4 linked regions of the Drosophila melanogaster genome follow. The protein of the gene in region 4 interacts with the protein of the main gene of each other region in a pairwise test. Each region holds a gene or a part of one and is shown on either strand. Other genes may lie near its edges.

Evidence for each region.
Region 1: the proteins of Ets97D (region 4) and CG14506 interact in a two-hybrid assay, tested with the Drosophila melanogaster proteins (one large-scale study listed by BioGRID).
Region 2: the proteins of Ets97D (region 4) and Atac3 interact in a two-hybrid assay, tested with the Drosophila melanogaster proteins (one large-scale study listed by BioGRID).
Region 3: the proteins of Ets97D (region 4) and sov interact in a two-hybrid assay, tested with the Drosophila melanogaster proteins (one large-scale study listed by BioGRID).

The regions. Positions count from the first base shown.
Region 1 is NT_033777.3:29,293,220-29,298,972, reverse strand, and holds CG14506 (uncharacterized protein), read left to right. Parts: upstream 1-1,792; 5' UTR 1,793-1,878; coding exon 1,879-1,918; intron 1,919-1,979; coding exon 1,980-3,154; 3' UTR 3,155-3,812; intron 3,813-3,887; 3' UTR 3,888-5,230; downstream 5,231-5,753.
Region 2 is NT_037436.4:324,450-329,622, forward strand, and holds Atac3 (Ada2a-containing complex component 3), read right to left. Parts: upstream 3,544-5,173; 5' UTR 3,350-3,543; exon of another isoform or gene 3,229-3,349; 5' UTR 3,193-3,228; coding exon 3,097-3,192; intron 3,040-3,096; coding exon 2,686-3,039; intron 2,631-2,685; coding exon 2,418-2,630; intron 2,276-2,417; coding exon 2,255-2,275; intron 2,091-2,254; coding exon 1,973-2,090; intron 1,910-1,972; coding exon 1,584-1,909; intron 1,526-1,583; coding exon 1,431-1,525; intron 1,376-1,430; coding exon 1,306-1,375; intron 1,246-1,305; coding exon 787-1,245; 3' UTR 536-786; downstream 1-535. Other genes in the region: CG32344 (uncharacterized protein), read right to left, coding at 1-149, 204-206.
Region 3 is NC_004354.4:6,754,400-6,759,373, forward strand, and holds the start of sov (small ovary), read left to right. Parts: upstream 1-1,922; 5' UTR 1,923-2,301; intron 2,302-4,210; exon of another isoform or gene 4,211-4,974. Other genes in the region: CG14439 (uncharacterized protein), read left to right, coding at 1-712, 773-1,044.
Region 4 is NT_033777.3:26,910,261-26,914,878, reverse strand, and holds Ets97D (Ets at 97D), read left to right. Parts: upstream 1-1,992; 5' UTR 1,993-2,118; coding exon 2,119-2,182; intron 2,183-2,259; coding exon 2,260-2,374; intron 2,375-2,435; coding exon 2,436-2,505; intron 2,506-2,560; coding exon 2,561-3,275; intron 3,276-3,336; coding exon 3,337-3,767; coding exon of another isoform or gene 3,768-3,827; 3' UTR 3,828-4,104; downstream 4,105-4,618. Other genes in the region: T48 (transcript 48), read right to left, coding at 4,412-4,618.

The sequences.
Region 1 (5,753 bases), 2.4 Mb from region 4:
CAAAGTCAGGCCGGAAAATGCAGTTTTCCCACAGTTGCCGCACGGCTCCAATCGCAACTTCTAGGGAAACTCCCTCACCACCAGAGCTGCGCTGGTGAAAACCTCATAAATTCTCACTTTTTGGCAGGCCGCACACGGCGAGGGAAATTCGAGGCGGCAGGACTCGAAGGACACAGCGCCAGGCGATGAATAGACATTCCCGAGATAATCAACGGCATTATCTTCTGATTATTATGTGTTCTTGGGGCATTTCAGGGAATTTCGTTATGATGAAACTCGCAAAAAATATCGAACTATATCCGGGATGATCGGCGGATGATGAGGATGCCGGGACACCCGGTTGAGTGGCTGAGTATCCGCTTTCCTTTCTCCTCTCTCGTTTAGTTTTTTTTTTTTTCGCAAATTCTCTGTGAGCTCATCATAATCATCATCAAACCCTCGGTCACTTGAGGTTTAAGCCAACATTAAAAAAGAGCCGAAAAAACACCCAAAGACGAAGGAAATCGCCGAAATGAACGTGAGAACACTGAATGTCCTCGTACCGAAATTTGCTTGGGCTCCTCATTGTTCGTTGAAGTGCTCGAGAGAGATTTGCTAGTTGTGTCCTTATTGTTTGCGGGCGAATGTTCATGAATGAATCAATGAATGCCTGAATGGCTAAACGGCTGAAGTTCACGTCCGCACAAAGTATCCGAGTATCTGAGGGATATTGCCGCGTTTTTAGCTGGAATCCCGGATGCAGTCGAGGCGTGAGAAGGAGGCGATCTCTGCGGCCTTGGCAACAAGTCTATTAGTCCGCCATGGTCCACTTGTTTATGGCTTACGTAACCTGGGTGGCAAAGGATGTGCAGGATCTGCACTGGCAGATGGATTCGTGAAAGGGATGCGCGCCCTGATTTCTGCGAGTTGGGTAAACATTCATCGCATCCGGTGCACCCTTGACCGATTGCGAATGCAAATCGCACATTAGAAGCCATGTGCAACTTTCCGCCCAGCAGTCAAACATTATGCAACCGAAACCGAAGGCCGCCCAGTCCATTGATGGCAAATGACAGGGAAACCCATTCGGGACACGTTTTTATGGAGGTGCGAAATGGCACATTTTTTCGACGAAACCTGCCGCGTCATTGAGTCGTCGTCCTTTTTACACCGGCTATGTGCAACCTGAACAACCTGTGCAAGCCTTGCAATTTGTCACCTGAGGCGACATTCAAACTGCCAACGCATTCCAGCTGGGTTTTTGCCTTTGGCCTACTGGTTCCTTTCATTTGGCCACGATTTGGTGGCAACAGTTTCATGAATCGCAGCCGGAATGCCGACCGTTACGAATATTCATTCATGGCACGGCAGCCACTCTGGGGACCTTAAATGGGGCTTTGACTTTGATCCTACAGTTTCATAAAATATTTATGAAATTTCCGATGAAAATATTTGTGCTCAGTTTGGCAAATCATTTCCTTGTGCGAAACGGATAAAAATTTTCCCAGGCCTCGATGAACTGAAAGTGCAATTTTCATTTATGCAATGGGAAAGGTTTGAGTAGGTTTGACTTTTAAGGATTTGGGGAAACCTCAGGGGAAAGACTTTAGATTCTGCGTAAAAATTAGGGAATTTATTTCTATGAATGGCAATTTTTAAGGGAAAACTCCCCACTTCACCACTCTTATAATAAATAGTCATTGATCAGAGTTGGCTTTGGGTTTGTCTATCAACCAAGTATATTTCAACTTGGCTTTAAAAAGCATGGATAGTTCATGGAGCTCCTTGATTTCCCTAGAACCCCTGGGAGTGACCAACACGCCATTGGACTTGCCTGGACTTGATTCGTGTCCTTCGCCAAAAAGAGCAAGGATTAGTGAATCCCAGCTGGGGGAAGCCATGCCCAGGGAACCAGCTAGTGTCTATGGGGAAAAGGCAGGTGAGAACGGCTATCGGGGACTTTAAGCTTCTCACGGACTTTGAATTATCCACAATCCTAGCAAATTTCCATTCCCTACAAGAGAAGGTGAAAACGTACCAACCTGGCACAGTGGTAGTCCAGCCACCCGAACGACGGCCTCCCGAGCCGGAACACGATCGCCTGATGTTCATTCCCGACCTAGACCAGGACATTACCCATCGGGATGTGTTCACCTATTTCAGCAAATTTGGGGATTTGGAGAGGGTCAGCGTGAGGAATGGCATGAGTAACTTTAACTACGCCATGGTGCGGTTTAGTCGCACTTCATACATGGAGCATGCCATCGAATCGAATCCACATCTGATCAAGGGATACCGATTGAACTGTCGCAAGGCGAAAGAAAAAAGTACAAATAAGGGAAGTCAGCAAAACTCTGGGACCATAAAAAAACCAAAGGCAACGATAACGCAGCCACACAAAGCTCCTGTAAGGCAGGCAGAGAAAAACGACGCCAAACAAAGTGGTCACAAATCTTTAGAGAAGAATTCGAAGCCACCAATTAACAGATCATTGCTTCTTCAAAAACTGGTAGAACCCACGTCCTATAGTCCATTTACCGCCGTAAAATCTGATCGAAACTATGCCTATGCATTAACCAATGACATTGGAATCTCCCGCTGGAGCTTTAACTTGTTGAAATTCGAACCCAGTTCAGACGAGGTGAGGGCCCTGGAAAAGGGTCTTTCCAGTTCGGCAAAGCTCCTACTGAGCATACGGAAGAAACTGGCTGCCGTGCCCCACAAGTCTGTCGAGCCACCAGCTCCAAAGTGGCCACAAACTCCTAGTGATAAAGCCGTTCCAAAAGTTACTCTTAAGATAGCTCCACCAATTCCTGCCTCTAGTCCAGTGCTCCCATCCCTGCCACAAACTCCTAGTGATAAAGCCGTTCCAAAAGTTATTTTTAAAATACCTCCACCACCTCCTGCCTCTAGTCCAGTGCTCCCATCCTTGCCGAGCCTTCTGCCGATCACTCCCCTAGTGCCTAAGCCCAAACCTGTTCTTCGAAAAGTTTCCAAGTCAGATCTCCGCTACGCCGTTCTAGCCAGTTTGGGTCAGAACTATGTCCATCACTGCTACACTAATGTGGCAGCTTATCGGCGGACCAAGAACTACGTCGACCTACAGCTCAGCGAGATGAAAGACCGACCCAGCATTTCGATGTTTGCGGATCAGATGTACGCACAGAAAGAGTAGGAATTACCAAATGCAAATCATATCTATCATATCATATATCATTCAATATAACAATAGTTAAGCAATATTTCCCAAGAAACTTCAAAGAACACTTTCATTATAAGGAAATGGCATACATTACATAAGTCGGACACTTTCTAAATTGAGGGAAGCCGAAGGATGTGACTTAGATTCCTGGAAGATATGAATGGAGCTGCTTGAATGAAACGTGAACATATTACACAAAAAGTTCCAATTCCAATTCAAAGGCACTTGAATCGCAGCAACCTGTCAACATAATTAATCCCCTGGATCAGCTGATGACGGTACTGCCCCTGACCGAATGATACACAAAATATGAACAATTCCTAGAGGGGGCGCGGGAATGCGATAAATGCGATGAAATAGGGGGCCTTGATTTCTGTAGCGCGGCCTCTGTTCTGCCCGACATTCCCAAGGATGTGCCTCCAAAAACCTGGCTTTCTTCTTGCTGGGCCGTGTTAATTGTCCAACATTGTGTGAGCGTGGACGTGAACAGGTCGGGTGCCATTAACAATCTTAACAACGATCCACAGCCACGGCCACGGCGATCCCACGGCTTGTCGCCTTGTTTCTCGAGCAGTTTTTTATGCCATTTACGAAGAAATCTTGCAACAAATCAGGAGCTCCCTTTTCCACAGTAAATACGAGTGTGCGAGAGCGACCTTTATTCGTTTGATGTTAAAAAAATTGTTCTACCTTCTCCCCCCCCCAGCACTACTTGTCTTCCTTTTTGGCCGGCCATCTCTGTGAACCTGTGACGACGCAATTCTTTGCCATTATCAGCTGCATCCTTGCAGGTCCTGCACTAGTTGCCCCCGCTCTCAATTCCGTTGCCGACCCCGATTCAATTTGGCTTTTATTGGGATCTCGGGCATCCCGATCCCGATCCCGATGCGATCCTAATTGCGGTGGCAATAGCTCGGCGTTTAATCACTTCGTACCTGCGGCTTAGACAGTCAAACCCGGCAGTCACTCATCGCGGCGGAGGCGGATATGTAGTAGAGCTGCACATATAAATGGGTATATGGTCCTGCAAATGGATCGACCTCGATGATTTTCACCAGCCAAATTGCGGCTTTGTGTTGCCTTTTCCCATTTGCCGGTGGATACATTTGGACTGGATCGTTATCTGGTTCTCTTTGTGCTTTCAAGGTTTATGGTCTAGCACACATATATTTCCTGTGAGAACAAATCCCAGTCCTGATGACCCCCGTAAACAAACCCGGTGAACATGGAACATCCCGACTAACAGCAACAACATCGGTGTCTTCCACTAAGTATTCGAATTCCCCTTCCAATTTTTGTGGGGCGATCGTGTACTCGCGGGCTGAAAAATCTACATAATGACAGGGCCACGCCGAAAACTAGTTCAGATCGCAAATTACGAACCGGTAAGGGATGGGATGAGATATACATGCATGTGTGTGTTGCAGTTCCCATTCAGGACACTCGGGACAGGACATCGAGCGCAACGGGAGACGCGGCGCGTTGAGGTTCGGCAAAGGTCATGTCAGGACTTTGCATAAAATGTTTGAAAATGTTTTCATTATGGTAAGTAGACACAAAAGTCCAACACACGAGCGATTCCCACCGAAAGGGGTGTCCTTTCCCAGCCCATCCCAGCCCGTGCGCCCAGGATCCTGGCATATATTGGTGATAAATTAGTTTAATGTTCGAAGCACCAAACTCGCAAGAAGCACACGAAAAAAAAAACACTCAACCGCAGCTGAGGCGGCAAAGTTTGGCAGGAAAATCCGACCTACCGTTTTTGGCGGCATTTTCCCGACATATACGTGTCCATCGAAATGAACTCGAGTCCTGGCAACTAATGAACTACGCAAACAATAGCTCAATGGCTACGCTTTAAGGAAAAAACGACGTAAAAATCACGTCTTGGAAATTTTCACATCGTTGATCTTAAATGGAAAATTACACTTCTCTAGCTGGACAGTGCAGGACAAACAGGATAGAATAGCGATCAGGACATGACACAATTGCAGTTTGCAGGACAATTGTTGCACTCACGCACGTGCAATGTGTTCCTGCAACTCGGTGTCTCTGGATTTCGAAGTCGAGTGCGCAGGGCCACGCCCATTGTGTGTCCCAGTGGCCGACTATATAGTACAGTGCGTTTCGTGAATGAAGCGACCAAAGTTACGAGTTACTTTGAATAGCGGCGGCGGTGGCAAGTGGATCAGATCCTGCGACAATGGCCTTTGTGTCCTTTGTCTTCCGCCTTGTTGGGGGTGTGCGGTGTTGTTGCAATTTTAGTGTAATTTTATTGTTATTAATTGTATGAAATGGGTTTTTAAATGGCCTTTGTCTAGGCCAATGAATGGCCATAGTCATAGTAAAAACGTGCCTTGTTAAAGGCATGTAATATCATAGGTTTTTTATTTTTAGCGGGACAAATAAATCTAGTAATTGTAACAAGAGTTATATTGTTTCCACACATTTCGCAGCAGTTTAGAGCACTTTCCTTTTAAACGAAAAGGAATGACTTTGTGTTACAACAACTATCATGTTATCAAAGCGGAATAATAAGTTTTTAAAGTAAATAAATAAATAAACTCAAGGC
Region 2 (5,173 bases), on a different chromosome or scaffold from region 4:
ATCAGCTCGAAGCCCAGGCCCATCGACTGGAATCCACCACTCTTGTTCTTCTTGGACTTGGACTTGAGAATGTCGGCGCCCCGGTCGCTGGTGCCGGCATCGTTGTCCAGTGATGGAAAGCCTGGTATTTCATCCGCCTGCTTCTTACGCTGCCAATGCAAAGTATGTATTGAAAGCTAAGCAACAAGAGACAATCCTCTTACCATATTTTTTTTGTTTTGAATAAAAACAACACGTGCAAAATCGATGACTATTCCACACTATCGATAACTCCATAAATTATCCAACACTGATTTCTTAAAAATTGACTAACGCTACAATATACCGCATTGTAATTGGCGCTTAGATTTTCATTTGATTAACTCGCGTTTTATTATTTTAATATTTACTATTTTGAGTAGACCATCTTTTAAATCGACCATATATACACTGCCGATTAAAATTAGAGGATAGCTTACATATGCCCAAAGGGAAAAAACCTCATAAGACCTCGACCAAACGGGAAAATAACAGATATAAAAGACTGGTGCGATTTAATAGCTATGTAAATGTATTAAATAAATGCTACATCTTGTGCAGATTATGGATTGAAAATGAATTTTTTAAACGATATATTTCTATCGACATCCGAATTGGTTTAAAGCTCTCATAGCATTCAAGTTATTAAGGTTTCGATAAGAAATGGTATGAAATCGTCATTAAACTGGGTGCTTTACAAATGCACTTATCGGCTGAATATCCTAAATATACCTTATCGAACTTACGCTAAACTTATCTTTGCATTAACTAAACGTCCTCTCCAAAATCCAAGTCCGCCTCCGACTCTTGAACCAGCACCATCTGCTCCAGGCGGTCAATGCGCCTCAGCATTTCCTCCTTTTCCCGCTGAAAGGAGTCGGCCCGCCGCCGCAGGTCTTCGTTTTGACGCCGCAACTCGTGAAGCTGGCGACAGATCTCAGAAGAAGTTAGCAGCGGCATCACGTTCGGAGATTTCGGCGACTGCTTCGTCGCATTGACGATTGTCTTGCCAGGTGCCGCCCCGTTGTTTACTGCGCCTTGGCCGGATCCTGCCGAGAGTGAAGGTCGCAGCTGTATCGTCTGGACGGTGCCCACTTGTCCCCTAAGCGAACTGCCCGACGCGGGATGGCCTGAAGGCAGTGGGGATGGGACCGCGGCTTCGTTCTGGCTGTGTGATTCTTCTAGCGCAGTGAGATCCTGCGGCCTTTGCAGGGAGGGGAGCTTTAACTAATTAAGCGGGGTTCAAGTAAAGTAAGGAGGTGAGCTCAGAAACTATTTAATATTCACCTGTCGAGCCTGCAACTGGCGCATGTTGACTAGCTTTGTGCCATCGGGAAGATGCCGCACCATTCCAGAGCTGTCGATAAGGCAAGATCTTATATATATCTCCCAAATATGTGAAATTAACGTACCTTGCCAATGAGGCGGGTATTTTCTGAAGGGACTTTGCCGTGCTGTCCGATCCGTAGAGTTTCTTAAAATCAGTCAACGAGATAATGCGTATATTCTGCCCTCAAATATTAATTATTATACGAATTAGCGAAACAAAACAATGAAATGCATACCTTGTTCTTGGCAACTCCCGCCGGTGACGGAAGATCCTTCTGCTTCAGGACATTCATCCGAATCTTGGGATGAGAATTATTAACATTTGTGCGGAGCGCTGCGACCGAAGGCCGGGCGTTTCCGTTCGTGGATTGCTTGCCGCTGATGCCCGATTTTGTTTCGTGCAGCAGCATGCGTCCTCCTTCAGAGAGGACAAGTTGGCGTCCATTCTGCAACGCAGTGTTCAGCATTTCTTTCGAGTCCTCGTCATCGTTGTCCTGCACCATGTCTGCGATTTCGTGCGTCTTTAGTATGTAAAGCGCAGTGTTCCGCAGGACGTTTGCATCTGGCAGGGAAAATAGGTTTTTCGTTAAATATTCGTTTAATATCTCCGAATCTAGTAACTTACGGCCTCGCATGTTTTCTAGGACATCCATTCGTTCTTCAACCGACATTTCTTTGTCGTCCACGGTTTTAATTACTTCCGGTTCGTCCATTATTGAGCTGACAGCTTCATTGGTTTCCTTCTGCAAATCGATGGGGAATAAATATGATATGATTTTTCTTTCTGCGAATCAATTGGGAATAAAGTATTTGTCACAATTTTTTAGGATCAGGAATGTAGGCCAAAGTTGGGAATGTTCTTGCTATTATTTGTGACAACCTAATACAAGTTGTCGAAAGTACATACTTTGGTCTTATGTGCTTGTTGCTGAAGTTTGATAAGCGCAGCGTGGGAAAAGGCAGCGATCAATTGTATTGTTAAGAATAAGGAACAGCCAAGCGAAACGTAAGTAAAACCTCATATTAAGTAGTAAATATGGCCTTCAGTGGATTTCTTCAAGCGCACTCACCTCCGATTCCTCGTGTAACTTCTTACTGGCCTGCGCCTGTCGTGCCGCTTCCAACTCCGCCAGCACATCCGCTTGTTCCGTGTACACGGCAAGTCCGATCGGCGTCTTGCCGAATTTGGAGACCAAGGTGACATCTGCCTGGCACTTGAGTAGCAGGCGCACAATTCCCTTGTGTTTTTTCTCGACCGCCCAGTGCAGCGGGGTCATGCGAAGCTGACAGGAATGTTGGTTAGTCATTTTAAACAGTCATTTATTTATATATTCTTACCATGTCGCGGGAGTTGACGCTGCACTTTAGCGCTAGCAGCAAGCTGACTATCCGCTCGTGACCGTAGTAGCAGGCTAGGTGGAGCGGCGTTCGGTCTACCTTGGTCTTGCCATCCATGTTAATGCCCCCCTGCAGGAGGATTTCGCAAATCTCCAGCTGATTGTTCATGGCGGCAAAGTGAAGTGCCGACATACCTAGCCAGTCGGAAGCGAAGGGAGCTCCATGCGCTAGCGCCGCCTTGACCCCAGCTACATCGCTGTCTCTGGCGCACTGGAGCAGCTGTTTGCCCAGGTCAACGCATGTGGCCGGACCCACCAGGATCCCCTTCTTTTGCTGGACATCCCCTTCGGTGCGCTATGAAGGAGTCGCCTCGGTTAGTGTGAATTACAAGCAAGGTACCGCGAGTCTTACGATCTCGTAGTGCATCAGGTTGGAGTTCTCCATGGGGTAGACGTGACCATCCGCTCGGAGAGTAGCAACGACTTTGCTGGCGCCGAGACTGTGCATTTTAGCAGAAGAACACTTTCAGGGACGAGTGAAGGCCTATAATTGGCATTACTTCAATAAGTTTATTAAGCAAAGGCTAAGAATGGCTTTAATTATGAATGTTTACGTTTTTAGATCTCTGCGGTGTGACCAGACATAGAAAAGGGCTTATACTCACCTATCAGATAAAATTGTTTTTGAAATAGCTTTCGTCATATAGCATCAATAGCATTAGTTTCTTCAATCGTCTAAAATCATGTTAAACTTAAATCATTTTCTGCGTTGCCGTTTTTTACATTTAAATTTAAATCACAGCTAAATCCTGTAAGACATTACTTGATCAAAGTAATAATACGAAGGATAAGGCAATCGAAGCTGAATTTATTGGTATATACCAAAAAGGAAGAATAGGTATCGATAATCTCTACATGACGAAAGTTTCTGATCGATATCAAGCACGGTCACACTTTATCTTATCGTTTTTACAGTTCGCGGTTTCGAGGTTTGCAACGCGCAATGAGCAAACTTAAACTAATTTTGTGACTCGGTAATCAAGTAAATGTGCAGCGGTCTAATTGAAATCAATGTTGCACGTGCAAATTACAGCTTGCGAGAGCAGCAATCATTTTTGTTCAGTTTTTTAAAGCTTACGAGGTATGAAAAGAAGAGGAAGTAACGGCAATGCCAGAAGCTTGTTGCTTTCTCCACTCCTCTTTCATCCTCGTCATGTGTGTGAGTGTGCAAGTGTATGTGTTTGCTAGGCTTAGAATTCCCAGTGAATATTGGGGAAATGTTAATTTAAAATGCAAAATATGTGATGGATAGCAAATGGATACGTACAAACAATAGTAAGTACATGTGTGTAGTCTTTCCGATTTTTTTCATTACTGGTGTTAAAAAGAAGAGACTAACAATATTCTTCATGCTCTTGAGCGGCCATTATATTCTAGGTGACCATTGTTGATCTAAAACAAAATAGAGAGCATAATTTTATGTTTCAATTTCTTTCTTCCGCCGCCATTGTATTCTGGGTTGATAAGGAAGATTTTAAGCAATTAAAATATATCTTCGTCTCTTTCTTCCACCGCCATTTTACTTTGCGGTGGTAAGGATGAAAGAATGAGATGCAAGCTTAAGATCTCTAAAGCAGCCATTTTTTTCTGCGGTGTGCTATTGGTCTTCCTCTTAAATTTAAAATTTATAAATTTCTTAAAAATATAGCAATATTGGCTACTATTTTTATCCATATTTCGCAAAGTTAAATGTAAACCGAAATTCGGATTTTTTGAAGTTTTTATAATCAACGAGATAGATTTGCAATCAAAATTTTTACCTTATCCTAATGAGAGGGATATATTTATTTTGCAGGGAAATTGCGTAAGAGTTCAAAGAGCTTAGTTCATAGGTGAGTACATCCACATAATTCTTATGAAAAATATAAAAATGGGCTGATTAAAATGATTGGTATTATGGAAATTATTATTGAAAAAATATGAAATTTACATTTTAAAAAGTGTTATTCGCGTTATTACTCAGTTTGTAAATAGCGGGCATCAATTGTGCATAGTTTGAAGGTAAGTTGCCCAATAAATGGCGCAAAGCTCGTAACCGCGAATTATATATGTATGTACATATACGATAAAAATAAAGTGTGGCCTTTGCTTGGATAAAAAAATCGTCCGAGTCGCCGGATATCCATATTATCGCTTTCAGAAAATTCGATATCATCGATAGGTGTTTCCCTTTCAAAAGTCTTCGTCCGATTTGGTCCGTTTGACTACTTTTATCTGGTGCATACCCGATTTGACTGCTTGGACGGAGTGGGATGTGTGAATGAACACTAAAACGCTTGAAACTTGAGAAATTAGGGAAGTAGACGGGTAGCGTCAGTTTGTTTGAGAAGATTAACAAGCCCACAAACTGCACAAAACTTGCAAGGCCATTTTATTATTTGTCTATCCATTTTCGATCGATATGGCAACAACATTTAAGCCATGCCCAC
Region 3 (4,974 bases), on a different chromosome or scaffold from region 4:
TACATCACCAAGCTGAATTTCTGGAATCTGGGATGGCGCGTTTGCTACTTGGGCGCCGGTGTCCTTACCGTAATTATGGCCGCACTGACCGGAACCACTTTGCGGGAGCCGGAGCGCAAGGCCATCGGTGAGGGTGACCGCCAGACGTCTAGCGGCAAACCAGTGAGCCTGTGGCAAGTTATCAAGAATCCGGCAATGATCATGTTGATGATTGCCGCGTCCATCCGTCACTGCGGTGGCATGACCTTTGCCTACAACGCCGATCTCTACTACAACACGTACTTCCCCGACGTGGACTTGGGCTGGTGGCTCTTTGGGGTCACCATTGGCATTGGCAGCGTGGGTGTGGTCGTCGGTGGCATTGTGTCGGACAAGATTGTCGCCAAGATGGGCATTCGATCACGCGCCTTTGTATTGGCTGTTAGCCAGCTAATTGCCACACTACCAGCCTTCGGATCGGTCTACTTTGACCCGCTGTGGGCCATGATCACGCTGGGCCTGAGTTATTTCTTCGCCGAGATGTGGTTCGGTATTGTCTTTGCCATTGTTGTGGAGATTGTTCCGCTGCGCGTTCGCTCCTCGACCATTGGCGTCTTTCTGTTTGTGATGAACAACATTGGCGGCAACCTGCCCATCCTGGTGGATCCGGTGGCCAAGATCCTGGGCTATCGCGGTTCGATCATGATCTTCTACGCTGGATTCTACGGCATCAGTAAGTCGGCTTGATCTGGCCACTTTTGGATACCAATATTACTAACACCTCTGGTCACAGGTTCTATTCTCTTCTTCATCACCTGTTTCCTGCTGGAAGGCAAGCCTGATGAGGTGGGACAGCCGGAGTCGCCGAAGAGCCATCCGGATGCCGTGCTCAATGCTCGCCACATGCACGGACACGACAACTCCGTGTTCTCCGTGGACGAGACCTTGCCCTCCAACGGACGTCCTGCCCAACTTCCGCAGCATCTGCAGATGTCCAGCAATGGATACGACAAGTCCCAGATTTCTCCGCCACGACAAAATGGCGCGGAGAGCAGTAGACTATAGATTAGCTTAAGCTCCGGAGTGTTTTTTTTTTTTTATTAATTAATATTATGCAATTTTTATGTTAGGTTGTTAAGATACCTGCTTCAAATTCGGCTAACTGATAATTCGATATCTGCTTTACATCAGATATCAGTTCTTAACAAATATGCCCGAATCCGGAGCAGGTGTCCTTGCACCCAGCAATCATAGGCCTAAGCGATGGATCCCCGAGATTCCCGCAACACTGTATTTTTAGCGCGATAACTGTGTACTTAATTCGCCAGGCGATTACAAGTGTACAACTTTAATAAAGTGCTGTTTTGTTAACATAAATTGAGTTCGACACTCGCGACACTTTCAGCTAAATCAGAGGTGCTTTGAATTGTGAAATTGGCAGAAAAAGTTGAACAAAGGATAGTGCTGCCCTTATATTGAAGGAAAACAAAATTTGGATGCGGCTATAAAAAACCTTAGACCATATTCCTACACTGCCAAAAACCAAATAATAGCAGTTAAATACGAACCTTATATGCCACGCCAATCTCCCAGGTAAGACACCTCCGGATCCACCGGTTGAACCACAGACATATTAACACCCACATATCCTTCGCCACCCATCCATCTCCCTTTAAAACAGCTTTCATTTGTATATAAATAAATTTTTCACTTTCACTCTAAACCGAAATTCTATTTAAATCCTAATTATAAATATAAAAAAAATCAAGATGCTATCTTTAAAATTGTAATTAATACCAAAATTTCCGGCTTTTTACCCATAGTGCAACGTACCAGTTTCCTTCAGTATGACCATGTTGCATCTAAGCCAAAAAGTTTTGTTTGTCCATAACCATCGATAGCTATCGATAACTAACTTAATAAAATAGTTGCATGTATGACAACAACATCAAAGTACGTGGCTTAATTTCTTTCATTTCTATGCCTTATGGCCAGCTCCTTCGAGTAACATCTACAAAAAAATAAGAAAAATTTTCTCCCCGAAACGAAAAACCCTAGTTTTTCCCAACTTTCACTTACGACGAAAATCATCGCGGCGAATTGCAGACACGTAGCCTTGGCAGAGTGAGCATTTTGCTCTGCTATTCGTGTCTATCGTATTCGCCGGCAATTGCGCATTGTGAGACACGGGCATAGTTCCCTCACTTCGGCGTCAACTTTGGAAGTGTTCGGATCGGCTCGTATTTCGACACCTCCGCAGACAAGGCCAAATTGCTGAGCATCGCACAAAACTCCAGAAATAACGGAGGAAAGTAATCTAAAGTGAGTACAGTTGAATATTACTAATCAAGTGGTAGTTGTAATAACGGGAATGTGCATCAACGACGAAAACAAAAACGAATTGTAGAGGCCAGCAAAAAAGTCGTGCTCTTGTTTGTCTTTGTGTTCGTTTGAGTTTGCGTCTTATGTGGACGAGCTTTTGCGACTGTGTTTGTGTGTGTGTGTCTGCATAAGTGTTCCGCAGAACTTATCGTGTGAAGAATCCAACCGCCGTTTATATAAACATTCTTCCATAAATCATTTCTCGGACGAGAGCGGAAAGGACGTTTACAATCAATAATGGCGTATTGCGAGCTCTACTATGAAAAGTGGATTTAAGTTAATCGCGTAATGATAACTTCGTTTCTTTAAATGTTTATACACACATTACTAACGTTACTAACTTTTTTTTTTAAGTACTGTGGTGGAAGGAAACTCTTCTGACCTTATGTAGTACATAGGATTTTAACCATGACTATTATGTCCGTTTTTCTGTCCGTATGAACGACCTAAAAAGCTGAGATAGGAAACACATTCTAATGACGAAAACGCGACACAATGATTCGATACCAACGGTCAAGGTAGTGCCAAAGACAAGATGCGTAACGCTATACGATTTTTTGGCACACTATTTTTTCGCCATGGCTCTAGAGGTGGCTCCAGGCTCTCTCGATTTTTTGTTCGAGAGCGAGAGAGCGGAGAGCGCTACAGCAAACAGCTCTTTTCTACGCATACAGTGATAGTTATTATAGTGTGTTTGGTAGTGCGCACTAGCGCACTAAAGGCTGAATGCTACATTTGTGTCGCCAAAAACCGATGTTTCAAAAGTCCAAAATACAAAGTGACCCACTTTTTCTAAATCGTTGGAGGAGAGAATTCTGTAGTCAAATCCCCGACTATCAGATACCCGTTACTCAGCTAGTGTGAATGCGAACGCGAAATTTCATCATTTTTCTGGGATATCGAAAGATATTGGGGAATAAAATGAGAAAAAATTTTCCCAAAGTGACCGTATTGGCGGCTTTATGGCGTTAGAGTGGGCGTGGCCAAAAGTTGTTTGCCAAACCGATAGAAATTTACAAGTCTAATAAAATTATGAACAAATTTCGAAAAAAAGGTTCAAAAGCGTGGGCAATTTTTTGCGGTTTGTGGGCGTTAGAGTGGACGTGGCAACATGGGTCAACAAACTTGCGCTCCGTCCATGTCTCTGGAATCTGTATGTTGAATCTCAACCTACTAGCTTTTATAGTTTCTAAGATGTCGACGTTCATACGAACATACGGAAATGGCCAGATCACCTCAGCTATTAATCCTGATTAAGAATATATATATTTTATATAGTCGGAAAGGCTTCAATCTGCCTGTTACATACTTTTCAACGAATCTAGTACCCTTTTACTCTTCAAGTAACGGATATAATAAAGAAATAGAATAGCAAGGATGATCTGTATAATTTTTAGAACTTGTAAAAGGCAACGAGAGTTACTTTGTCACAAAATATGGATACCTTGCCACATACTTTATTTTTAGGAAAAAGAAAACTACTTGAGAGTATCAGATTTGGAAAATGAAAGGCACTTCTGACCTTTTTTTTTTAATAATATCTGTAAATGCACAAATAAATGCAGTGATTACTCACTATGTGCATAAAATACTTATTTAAATCAAGCTTAAAGTAAATGCTTATACGTTTTAAGCATAGCAAATGGACTTTGATAGCTGATAGATAAAAGAATCAAGCTAAGTTCCGTATTCTATCCACAAGAACACCGATTGGTTCATTCGTAAAGGAATGTAGTCGTTTTGCTGAAAAAATCCCATCGCTACTCGAGGGTTACCATTTGTTGTTGGTTTTGCGTGGACTGAGTACTTTGACCTTGTACTCTACCTACTACAATGAAACCACAAAAGTAAACATGGATATTTTATTCCTCAAATGAAAGAAATGATGATAGTGCTACAGTAATAGTTATCAAGGATAAGAACAACATGCTTCCGTCGTTGCGAACACATTTTCAGATTATGTACTAGACCTTCCTGTGCTCCAACCCTATTGATTTATATTAAAAATCAAGGTCATAATAAGGATCGCGATTGGCTTGGTTTATATCAGCTGGTGTATCAAGACTTAAATGGCACACAGTGTTTGGTATTCGCCGATCGACGAACCAGACCATGAGTCGTGTTAGAAGTATTGTTCGTAATACTGTGAAGTGGCGCCTACTAAATATGTTTTGTGTGTTGGAAGAGTTCAAACTGAAACGGTACATAAGTTTAATTATCCCATTATCCCATACAGATATATTGTGATAATGCGGGTTAAATATGATTAATGATCAACAATAATAGGGTTGGATGGTTTCAGTGTTGCTCTTCTAGGCGGTCTGTTCTGTACTCTCGATCAGCGCGTACTGCCACGTCGATTTAGAATTCTTGGCTTCCTTGGGCTTTTAGATATGCGCAAGAGTCGAGTCGCTGAAAGTTTAAATGTGTGTGTGTGTGCGTGTGGTCATCGTTTCGTAGAAAACTAGGTAGACGCTTCCCGTTTATATTATTATTGTGCTATCTGCTTCGTTCTGTAGGTACGGGATTTGTGGACGGCGTATGTATGGAATGTGCTTATGTCTCATGTTTGCTGTTTTATTTACGCTATCGATCGCAACGTCGAAAGATTGT
Region 4 (4,618 bases):
TCTAGGTGCAGACCAAAAAAAAAGGCACCATAACTCACTCGAAAAAAAAACCAATTAATTAAAAACCAGAAATTATGAAACGAAGAGCAAGAAAGCTGAAACGAAAACGCCGACCGCCTTTGAAATGTCCTTGCAGCAATAGCAATAGCGATAGCGATAGCAATCCTTAGACGACCCAAATACTGGCCATTCAGTATGGGCCACGGAAATGCAAATTCTCCAAGTCCCGGGCTCTGGTGCTCCACTTTGGTGCTCAGCGTGGGAGTTGTCCCTATTGATTTAATTCTAGCCATCCAGTGACGCAATTCCGTGGAGTTGAACGCTCGGCGGACAAATAATCCAGAGGCGAAAACCCCAAGGGGTTGTTTTCCTTTATTTTTCTTGTTTTTTTTTTTTTGTGTTTTTATTTCGACGGTTCTTGGCAGCCGAATATATGGGAATTTCTGGCAGTCAAAGGCGCCACAATGACTGCGCATAGTTTTATGTACGCTAACGGTTTTGAGTGAGTTTTCCACGTTGTCATTGGGCTGGTTTCGTTCATCTGTTTGTTGCCCCATTGCAGCTGGGTGTCATGACCTAGACAATTTTCGGTCTGCATAGATTTCTATCTGCCAGAAGGTCAATGCGGCGTATACTTAACGTGCAATGAGATAAGTCCTCATTAGCATATAATGAGTAATAAGGGTTTGTGTGGTGAGAAAGAAAGATAGAAATTTCACTACCACTCACATCTAATAATATCCAAATGAGACGACTTTGACAATGACTCAACTTCAAATGGCTGGAAAGTACGCAAAATGAAACCAAAAAAAAAACTGACCTGAAGCGCCTGAATTTGACCAGCTGGCTAATATTAGTCAACAGCTTGGCAAGTAAACAAAGCAGAGTTAGTCCCCAAATAAAACAAAATCCGCACTCTGGCTTGTTAGTTTCCCTCGTTTTCGGACACGAAACGGAAAGGGGAAAATGAAGTTGCAAGGTTGCACAATATGGGGATGATGATGTGCCAGAACATTCGTGGCAGACATTGAATCACTTATAGCTAATACCGAAATCAAAATCAAACATTGTCATCAGCAAGATATTCGCAAGCAAATATCGTTCATCTACTATGCCAACTGAGTCAACAGCATGAGGTAATGCTCCCAACTCCGGACTATTCAGGCCGGGAGCCGTCTTTGTCCATATCTCGGTACATGGTACATGGAAAAACGCTTGTGTTAACAAGTACTCTGTGCACTTGAGGCTGTCCTCTGCTCCATAGCACAATTGGCATTCATTGTCCCGCCGTTTTGACCCACTGATCGTGTTACGGGGCATTTAATCAGCATTAGCTGAAAATGAGCAGCACTTGGCCACTTCACTTGCCTGTGGGAACACCCAAGTGCTTCCTAGTCAGGCCGACGCACAAACATGGCCAATTGTGTCGGCCAATTGAGTCTTGCAGCGAAAGAAAGTGGCGAAAAGATATCGCATGAAGAGCAAACCACTCAACCACAAGTGGGTGTCTTAAGCATCGACTTGTTGTTGCGAATTGAATTCCTCAATTAATTTCGATGGCATTTCTAGGAAATCACTTGAGGGGGCGAGCACACATTTTGTCACCAGATTGCTAATTTTTATAGATCGTTAGGCTCAAAATATTAATAGCTGGTGATGAAAGAAATTTTTGATCAATGAATTTCCACACAGGAAAAGGGAACTTGAAAATAGTTCAAAACTGGCAAAATATTTGCCAGTAAAAACTATAACAAAATCATGTATTCTTTTAAAACTAAATAACAATTGATGTTTTTCTTTAAATATATATGATGCTATTAAGTTTTTTCATCATTAAAGCAAATATTGTATTTCAGACTTGCTAACTTACATTCATATTTACATTTTTTCGAAACTTTTATCACTTTTAAAAGAACCGCCAGAGTTTTGAAATCTGATAGAATTGGTGGCAATACTGGCCAGTGACTATGCAGCCCTGTACCAACGCCACTTAGTATTATTCGGTATTGCCACACCCGACGTACACGGTCACACTGAAGATGCAACAATAAATCCACGAGACAAATTTGTTAAAAACATTTTGTTAATATAGGCAGTTATTTGCGATTTTAAGCCGCGATGAACAGCAGCAATGACTTGTCGGACGAGCTAATACGCCGCCTCAGCGTTGGCGGTGCCCTGGGTAAGTGGAATGATGCCATTTCCCAATTGGGACGCACCTGTTGTTACACCGAATTATTAATTGTAAACAATTTGCAGAAGAAGTGATTGCCAGCGAAATGTTCGAGGATAGCATCGATGTGGAGACGGAGGCGGAGCCGGACGACATCATCATCGTGCACATGGACATCCGGGAGCCGCTCAGCATGCTCAAGTGAGTCTGGCGAAGACTGGCCCCCATTAGTCATGCAAATAACCCTCATTTCTACCCACAGATCACTTGTTGAGCAAAAGATAGGAGTGTGCCTGAATTACTACACGTTTTGGCTGCAGGACGCGCAGGAGGTGAGTCTATCTGCGGCGTAATAAAATGTTTACCTAAGCCCCCACTCTCCTGCAGCTGGAATCGCACAAGAATCTCGTGGACCAATGCGTCAAGGGAGAAGGCCTGGTCCAGATCAACGTGCAGATACAAACTATTCGCAAGCGCATTAACATCGCCGACGTCCTGAAGCCCACGGAGGCCGCACTGGCTGCCTTGGCCGAGGAGGTGGTGGGCCAGCTCTCGCCGCCGGAAACGGCCAGCCAGAAGAGTTCCTCCAGCGAAAGCCCCATCAAAACCCCACTCAAGCGCATGCACAAGGAAGACTCCGAAGAGGAATCCGTCGAGGGCAAGGATGTCAAGCCAGTCTTGAATTGGGTCCTGGACAGCAAGTTTAAGCGAGAACAAATACGCCTGAAGATACCCGAGGCGGCCAACGAATGGACACACGCACACGTGACGTACTGGCTGGAGTGGGCCGTCAAGCAGTTCGAACTAGTTGGCATCAACATGAGCGACTGGCAAATGAATGGCCAGGAACTCTGCGCAATGACGCACGAGGAATTCAATCAGAAGCTGCCCCGTGATCCAGGCAACATCTTCTGGACCCACCTCCAGCTGCTAAAAGAATGTAATTTCGTGTCCGTAGTGCACAAACGAGCGGAGGAGCAGCGTAAGCCCAAGCAACCAAGAATCATGTCGGCCAATTCCATATCGACCAATTCAGGGGGCAGCCTTTCGCTTGAACAGCGGATTATGCGGAAATCCTATCAGTCAGTCAAGAGCTCTGATTGTAAGTAGACGTGTGAATGTTACACCAAAGCATGAGCTAACAATATCTACTTCGTTCACAGCCGTTGAAAGTACTACGTCATCCATGAATCCATCAAACTACACTACCATCGGTTCCGGGAATAATGGACAAGTGCAGCTATGGCAGTTCCTACTCGAAATACTCACCGACTGCGAGCACACGGACGTTATTGAGTGGGTGGGCACCGAGGGAGAATTTAAGCTCACTGACCCGGATCGAGTGGCACGCCTTTGGGGCGAGAAGAAAAACAAACCCGCTATGAACTACGAAAAGCTATCAAGGGCTCTCCGCTACTATTACGATGGGGATATGATCTCCAAGGTGTCCGGCAAGCGATTCGCATACAAATTTGACTGCGATTTGAAGCTATTGATCGGCTATGATGCGAATGAGCTATCCACGCTGGTCAGCGAGGGGAAAACGGCGCCCGAGCGCGTAGCCGCAACGGAAACAATTACAGAAGACACGTGACATGGCGAGCTGAAGCTCAAGGAGGAACCCGACATACTCTGGAAGTACGAGGAGCCTTAGCGTTGGCTGACTTGGTCGGATGACGGCGCCTGGTTAATAATACAAATTGTTACATATTTTACAATCCTAAGGCACACGATTTTATTATCCATTTCGTATTCGCTAAGGTTTATAATCTCTGTCTACATAAGCTATAGCTATAAGTATCGCGTTTATACTGCTAATCATCTTAGTTATTATCTGAATAGTATTTCTATAGTGTGTATATTGAATATTGTTCGTTACATGATTGTTGCGATTTTTGTAAAATCCATAAAACTAAATTCATTTCCACGCGATTTCCATTTGCATTTGCATTAGCTCCTTCTCCTCGGCATCGTTGTGTGTTGATGGTTTTGTTTGTGATTTTACGTGACTAGTTTGCTTGCTTAACTGATCTAACTAAGCTCTAAGCGTGGGCATTTAGCGGCTCCGGCTAAACGGCCTCCCAGTTAGCTTGTCGAAGTCGATGATGGCCTGTCGGAATGTGCACGCAAATGCTCCATTCCCCCAGCTGAACTGGCGCTAGACTCGAACGGCTAGCGCCGCCAGCCGGGGTAATACTTAGTTTGCATTAAGTTTTGAGTATGAGTTTTGTGATGCGGTTACAGCTCCGTGGTGATCTCGTCCTGCGGTCGAAAGCCCAGCTTGTAGAACTCGTCCTCCAGCCACAGCGAGCTGGCGTTGAGATCAGAGATGAGATTGCCGCTCTTCAGCGTGTTGAAACTGCTGCCGAAAGGATCCGAAGCCCGCGGCTCCTCGAACTCGTGCAGGCTGATCAGCGAGCCAAACAGGTGTAGCTTCTGCTGCGC